Linked DNA regions of Bombyx mori. The protein of the gene in region 1 interacts with the protein of each later gene in a biochemical or structural test. Links are inferred from orthologs where the notes say so. Each region holds a gene or a part of one and is shown on either strand. Other genes may lie near its edges. The genes, in order: asparagine synthetase domain-containing protein CG17486 and beta-1-syntrophin.

The links.
Region 2: the proteins of asparagine synthetase domain-containing protein CG17486 (region 1) and beta-1-syntrophin interact in a test that uses a peptide from one of them, tested with the Homo sapiens proteins (2 studies listed by IntAct, with this or other methods). The link is inferred for Bombyx mori from reciprocal best matches to the Homo sapiens genes ASNSD1 and SNTB1.

Annotation. Positions count from the first base shown.
Region 1 is NC_085110.1:14,030,087-14,034,569, reverse strand, and holds the start of asparagine synthetase domain-containing protein CG17486, read right to left. Parts: upstream 2,923-4,483; 5' UTR 2,787-2,922; coding exon 2,736-2,786; intron 2,659-2,735; coding exon 2,407-2,658; intron 1,685-2,406; coding exon 1,513-1,684; intron 1-1,512.
Region 2 is NC_085118.1:12,117,798-12,121,629, reverse strand, and holds part of beta-1-syntrophin, read right to left. Parts: intron 3,338-3,832; coding exon 3,230-3,337; 3' UTR 1-3,229. UniProt on the Homo sapiens protein: Adapter protein that binds to and probably organizes the subcellular localization of a variety of membrane proteins. May link various receptors to the actin cytoskeleton and the dystrophin glycoprotein complex.

The DNA.
Region 1 (4,483 bases):
GGCGCGCTATGATGCCGAGATGTGTTGTATATACTATTACGTAGTACGCAACGCTGTCGCGGCGCGCTGCCGCCGCATGCCGCGTGACATGAACAGAGTGCGACGTTAAAACGCAGCGCTAGGTAACGCCTTTTTTTTTTTTTATTGCCTTTGTCGGCAGACGGGCATACGGCCCACCTGATGGTGAGTGGTTACCGTCGCCCATGGACTTCAGCAATGCCAGGGGCAGAGCCAAGCCGCTGCCTACGCCTTCTGTTTGACTAAGCCTTTAAAGCGCTGGCGCTCTGTTTGACAGTATATTATACAACACAAACACATCTCGACCTCATAGCGCTCCGTCAGTTCTGACGCGCGCTAATTACGCGTTCTGTTTGACGAAGCCTTTAGACTTTTTCACAAAAAAAATGGCTTAAAAACAAAACAACATATTTTTTTCGTTTTTACTTTCCATATTTATTTAGAATGCAAGCTTTGAAAACTGATTTTAATGTAGTCGGAAGTACTGTAAAGATTTTTGATGCGATTATGTCTATTATTTATTGATTTGTTATTTGAAATCAAGTTTTAAAAAGGAAAATTGATTATTTTTCTTTTCAAAGCTTTCATTCTCAATAAATATAGAAAACGAAAAAAAATTGTTGTTTTATGTTTTTAAGCCTTTTTTTTAGGTTAAACTTTAACTGCGAATAACTTTCAACCGAGTTGACTTAGCAAAAAATTATTTCAGACCTTTTTTGTAGGCCGTTTAATTCCCTACAAAAATATGTATTTCTTTTTACTACACGATAATTCGTTGAGATACAATAAAACTCCAAAGAAAAAAAAAACCAGTGTCATTTAAATGGGAAATCAAAAATCACGATGCGGCACCTCTAAATATTAATATTAAGAGCTCAAACTTTACATTTTTTTTGTCATCTTGGACGATAATTTCGTAGTACCAAAAGAAAAGTTTTTTTTTTGCCCATCTTAGTAAAAATGTCACTAGATAAGTAAATTGGGTAAATAAGAGTAAATATGCCTGTTCTACTATATAAAACTTACATTCTATGTTATAGGTATAAAAGAAATTAAATATATCAAAAATAGGTTTGTCTGTGCTTTCAGTTAAAAGTAGCTATAACTAGTAATTTCCTTTTTTAATTCAAATCAAATCAATCCTTGTGTCAAAAGCCCACATAAGGTGTCAACACCATTATTGAGTGAGTAGTTTATCAAGATTGCATTTAAGAATAACAATCTTCAAAATAGAGAAAAGCCTAACAAATAAGCACTAACATTTTACTATAACTAGTAATTTCCTTTTTTAATTCAAATCAAATCAAATCAAAAAAATCCCTGTGTCAAAAGCCCACATAAGGTGCCAACACCATTATTGAGTGAGTAGTTTATCAAGATTGCATTTAAGAATAACAATCTTCAAAATAGAGAAAAGCCTAACAAATAAGCACTAACATTTTACTCTAGATATAGATATACATTTATATATAATAAAGAATAAAATCACATTACCTAAGACACTGGATAATACTAAAGAATTTGAATTTTTATGTATGAGTAAAGAGTTTCTTCCAAATCGATCCCTAGTGAAATATAATTTATTTGTCACTTTACAGTAATATATTAAGCTGAATGGCCCCTTTAGTGACTTTAATACATTGATCACTTTATCGATTTGACTGTCCTGAAAAATAATATTTACATATAGGTATATAAGCTTGCCAGGGGTTTGTTGTAGGTTCAGTTAGCCAAGGAAAATAATATTTTCTCCTACCTACGCCGAAAGTTTGGTTTTCCTCCCGCTGTACAGGGAAGAAAGTGTAACTTTTCCTCCCTGGGTACAAGTGCGCATGTGCGTTAGTGTCTACATCTGCTCTTACGCACCTACAATTCTCCACCATTGTTGTGCTCGGGTAATTTGCAATATTGTGTTTAGTGTAAAAGTGAAATAAACAAAATGCAATAAAATTTAATACTGAAGTATTAAACAAAGATGAGTTCATCAGACAGTTCTTATTCAATTAGTAGTAGTTTATTTAAAAATTAAAAAACAGTTAAATGGTTTTTTAAGAGTATGGGGGGGCTCCGCTCCCCCTACCCTCTGCCAGGGCTTCGCTCCTGGACCCCAGCTAGGTATTCCACGAACTCGCCGTGGTAGGAAAAAAAATAGTATTTGCACTGCGAGAAAAAAGTAGGACATCTCATCCTGCATGTTTGCCATTTTTTTGACAATTTTACCCGCAGGAGGAAATGTCCTACTTTTCTCCCTTGGTGCACAATGTACTATTATTGGTATAAATGAATGTCAAGTTTTAGGCAGTAAGACTTTGGAAGGAACTTTAAATATTTGCTGCTAATAAAAAAAAAACGATAATATGAATTGATAAATTAACAACTATTTCTCACACAATCATAACTAAGTTTCTCCATGATTATTTGCGTGTCGCTGGTTCTGCTATCCCAAGATTCGTCAAATATATCACCATTATACAAAAGGATGCCACATTCATTTTCGAGAGGTTGTAATGTCATTTGCGGACCTTGCATCCATAGAACTGAGGCTACGAAAACTATGTGGTGTCCAATTTCAGAAATAAAATCCTTCCTCTGTAAGTGATCGGGTCCTCTGTTTTTGAGTCTTCGAAGGACATCAATATCCTAGAAATGGTCTCTATTAAAAAAAACCTTAAAATTGGTATACTACGTAACAACATTTCAGATTAATAATCACGTACGTTCACTATGCTACATTTTTCGCAGCTTAACTCCAAAAATATACCACACATGCTGTCAATTACGGTATCCAAACGATCAACAGCAATTCAAAGTTTCAAATGGTTTAAAAACACCACCGATGTAGCCGTCGGTGATACCCAATATCCATACTCCATAGAGTTAGGTATTTTTAGTAAGTAGGTACCGTAAAATGGGGCGATTAGGGACAAATTCCAACTTTATGAGCAATTTTAAGATAGTTGTTGATGTATATAATGCTATATCAGGATCAAAATGATTGAGTCTTGTGGGCATCTTTGTTATCCAATTTAAAATTATGCAACTAGCATTCCAGTTTAAGCAAAAAATGCAAAAATAGGTGTAATCCCTATTTACCCGAAAATTGCGGTTAATTGGGACGAAATGAGAAATTTGCTAGGGTTGGCACTACTTTTATTTTTATATATAGTTTTAATTTATTTATTTATTTAGTTGCACCAACAAAGTGATCATCAATAAAAAAAATTGAAAAACTGACAAAAGTACATGGCAGACATCACCTCAATTATAGGTGCAATCGACAGTGCTGATATTTCTATCTGGGTTAAGAGATTAGGTGTGTCGGTTATTCCATGGATTAATCAGATGAATACCCCCACTCTGAACAAATATTAAATATTTTGTTATGTGTTACTTAGACATTTTTGTCCACCTTGAGATTTCATTGATCTTGTTACATGTCTCTGCAAAATCGACTTACTTATATTAAATTGCTTATCTATTTCAACTAAAGACTTATTCCCAATTTCGCTTCGAATAAATCAGGTTTTTACCAACAAATTTAAAAAATATTGTTATAACTACATAGACAACCCTACAAACCTGTACCTATTTATACTTAGGTCGTTTCCATTTCACGTATTCTCATCCCAATTGACCCCTTTTTCGTTGTTATTTGTACCTAAGGCGTCCCCAATATCCCCAAAAACAACAGATTTTTACATGTATTTTTATTTAATCAATTACATTAAAACCAATAACAACTGAGACTTACCTTTAATATATATGCTGGTTCAAACACTAAATAACGTTTATAAATCATAGTCGTCTTCTATTATTATCAAATAAATAAAAGAGAGCAAAGTTTCTAGCACTAAAATAATTACCACCACAGGAAGTTAATTTGAAACGCGATTTTTTATAAGTTAGCAGCTATTATCATGCATATTCAGAGTTGTTTTGTGAACTTTCAACATTCTACTATTAAACTACAAAAAATGGAAGATTTTGCAACGAATATAAAACTTATATTGAGCGTCGAAAGATTTTCCCAGTTTTTTCCCGATTCGCCTCTCAATCCCTAATCGCCCTATTTTACCGGTACCTACTTATTTAACTCCATGGTGATATAGGCATAGAATTTTTTAAAGAAATTTTATGACATGGTAACTAAAGGTCAAGTCATTTTAATTTTATTTTAAATGAAAAATGATATAATGAAATGAAGTTGATTAATACGAAACATGGCATGAAATGAAATGAAAATCAAAATGAAATGAGATGAGATAATATGGGATGAAATATAATCTCAGTAAAATGGTGGTCATTTACTGAGATTTTTTCAGTGGACTTTTTGGAGGATCCCGAGAAGTCACCTTCAGCGGCTTTGTTTCATTTTCCTATATTTGTGTACTTTCAAAGATACTAAAGTTAATAAACCGCCGATAATACACATTTAAACTTAAAGAAACACTAAATAGACAAAACA
Region 2 (3,832 bases), on another chromosome or scaffold:
TGCAATGATCATTCGTTTTAATTGTCGTCACGGAAGCGATCATCACTTTGAGCATCATATAGGAAAACGATATTATATCGAATTACAACAATCATTCGTTTCAATAATCGTCATGGAGGCGATCATCGCTTTGAGCATCTTAAAAGATACCATGAGATTCGACCACACAATTACTACAATTAGTACTTCACTGTTTTATTATCAATCATTTATAGATTTGAATATACAGCAACCTATAGGTAACTCATACTTACTAACGGAGGTTATCTCATACTTACTACCGGAGCTGTTTTCAAAGATCTCAACCTTTAACCAAACACGAAAACAAGCACTGGTTTAATTATTATGTTGCGTTTTGGTTGTGGTGTTCATGTACTTGAATGATAAATGTTATTTACATACGTTTGTATATCAGTACTACCACACATTAAAAAATTACTTTCACCGGTTACGAATAATTTAAAATTTTAATATCTCTTCAAAATTCTGGAAATAGCGTCAATTTAATCCAGCAGTCGGGGAACCGGGGTAAATTACCCCAAATGGGGTAAAATGAAATTTTGGGGGTAAAAATGAAACTTTTGTGAGTAAAAAATATATATTGAAGTGAAACTTCTTTAGAAACGTTAAATTTTTTGTTATTGTTTTCTTTTAAAAATTATCATGGGGGCTTATAATATGAAAGATGCTAAATGGAAGCGATTTCGTTTTTGTTTTGTTCTTCGCCATGAGGTGATATCAACTTACACAAAAAATATTTTGGTGTAATAATTAAAAAAGTTCCCCGACCGCTGATTTAATCTAACACTCATATTCTAAGACGTTACCGACCTACACTGGGTGTTAGGAGACCGCTTCCGAAAACGAAGACAGACGATAGTAAACAAAGTAATTCTTGGGGAGCGCGGTATCAGCTTCGCGCCGGTGTGCGTGTAAAAGAAACGCAACGCCTGGGCGTTCGTTGATCCGAGCATCAGCTGTTATTTATTTTGTGTTTCATTGCTGGTTTTTTTTAGTAAAGTAATGTATTTTCTATAAAACTATCGTTTCATTTATCTGTACTAACATAAAGGAGCGTAAATAATGCTAATAATACGCTATAAAAATGTTTTTTTTTTTTAATCAGTATCGATTTTTTTCCGTCCCATCATCAAAGGTGTCATTAATACTATCGTCTATCTTCATTTTCGGAAGTGATCTTTTTAACACGCAGTATATAAGCTTTCGCTGCCTCGACTCAAAGAACACGTTGTTGGTGATATTATCCAGGAATTCCCGAGATCGATATTCTATGTATTTGTAGCTAGATTTTAACTCAACAATCCTCTAGACTGATTTTTTTTTAATTGTGATATTGATTTTTAAACGTGGTTTCTCCGGGAATCCCTTAGGGGATTTCCAAACATACTTTAACTTCGACAGTCAGTTCCTAATCTCGTGTGACTAAAACCAGGGATGTCAGATGGAGATTCTTTATAAGCATGATGAATTGCTCAAATTCGGTTGAGCGGAATCGATGTAACGTCTTAGAACACGCCCCCCCTGGAATTTTGCATTTTCTTGGCATTCAGACTTGTAATCACGAATGTATATGTAGGTAATCATGGCCAGAAAATGTGCCTTTGCGTTAGTCTCTGTCAATCGCTTACAAGTGTCAAGTGTCAAGTGGCTACTTTGTCAAGTGTCAACGGTGCCAAATCGCAACTCTTTGCTTTAGCTTTAATTAAATGTTTTTTTAAATAGATAACGCGATCGAATCTCGAAACCATCCTGAATACAATTTTTCATGAATGATATAAAATAGATACATGTATATGCCGAAAAGTTTACTATTACAGATTAGCCATACAAATATACAGTCAAAACTATGCAAAAAACCAATCTGTTTTATTGTATATACTATACTAGTGAAGTGAGTGAATTGAGAATTCGCTTCAGATATGCAGAAATTTCGTTTGATAAATTGTGCACAATCACAGATACGTTTATTTTGATAAAAGAGATTCAATTTCAACGGAATACATTATATAATTTTATTGAGTATTTATTTAGAAGATTCGCAGATTTTTATACTCTTTTTAACTTCGGCTTAATGTAGCCTAGGTGGCATTATGTATTCCTCAATTTAATTCATAATACGAGTATATAATTATTCGATTTTGTTTTATCTTCGTCGGTTAATATTAAATGAAAACTGACGTTAAATGTTAAATTAAGCTTTCAATTGTTCCTTATTTAAATATAGGATTTTTTATTATTAGGCCAAAAGTGTTAAGAGTACACAAGGACATTATAGGAATAGTATTAATTCCCTTGGATCTGCTACTACTTATTACATATTTCACAGAGCCGGCTTTTACAGGTTCTGAAACCACGACCGAGCGTATTTGTCGATTATTGTACCGATATTTAAAATAGACCGGCATTTAGCAGAAAAGGCTCAAACCGCCACACTCAAATAGCACACATTACAATTATTTTAAATTTACTTCTATAAGCCGCGCCAATAAAGAAACGAATCTAAAATGGCAGCGGCGATCATGCGCTCTCAGTCTAAACTATTGCTGTCTTTAGTCGCACACGGCGCGTACTGCATGCAAAAAAAAATATTAGTTTCGACTTTGTTGTTGAGTTCGAGTTTTTTCACTTTCGAGTTGTGCTACTTAGCTGACTGGCAGCAAAAGTGTCTACGCAAGTTGCATCCTATATGAGACACCTCCCCCTCTGCCAGGGCACCAAAGTAAAGTAAAGTACTTTCTCATTTGTTTTTATTTTTATTTTTTTACAATAAACAACTTTTTCTTTCTATCTTTCTTTTTATTTGTTTACCCTACTATTTGTCAGTGCAGGTACATAGACGCCATTTTAGATTCGTTTCTTTATTGGCGCGGCAGAATGATATATTTTTGTTTTAGTCGCATGGGTTGCCAGTGTAAAAAAAAACCTTCGTTCATTGATAATTGTTGCAAAACTACTATGTTCCAAAGAGTTCGTTTGGTATAATCCTTGACTGAATCCTTTCTACTAAACTACGACCTAGTTATTTTACAAACCAACCCTACAAATCGAGTCGAGTGCGATCCAATTTGAATTTCGAACTGAGTACGATCCAATGCGTTGATCATACAAATCAAAACAAGTACAACCCTGATCATATCGATGAGAGCAGCTTCGACGAGCAGTTGTTATCGTTCGATGATGATTTGATGCCTTCTTTAAATTGTTCGGGTTATAGCGGGTTCGGTGTCGGATCTCCCGGCAGCGAGTGGACGCGAGCCGACAGCAAATTGTGCAGAATGAACACAGCCGGCTTCGGGCTACCGTCCATTTCTAGCTCCTGGCAAAATTACACGGAAAACGCATTTTAATGAAAAATATACACAAACGCGCATAAAACCCGGATGTGACAGAAGTGATAGGTTTTAAACGAGAAAATATATAAGTCATCTCTGTCTCGGTTGCATCAGAAACGTTTAGTTTTAGTTTGGCACTTCAGTTTGGTGATGTGTTTGGGTAAACATTTTCACTTTGCATCACCGTTTTCGATCAAACGTAACAAATACACAAATATGCTACGCCACGTGAAATATGCCACTTTCAACGGGTTTCCTTGATCAAATATTTAGATATGTATTCAGAATATACATTAAAATATATAGAAATTTATTCAGAAATATTCAGAGCCTGTCCACCCATCTAAGCAATAAAAAAAAACGGTGCGCTTGCAACTTGGTGCACGTAAATGAAGTGAAGCTTCTTTTTCGATGTGTAGTATTGTGGTTTTCTTCATTTTTCATCCTTAAATCAGATTGCTCTTGTAATAGGTAATGTG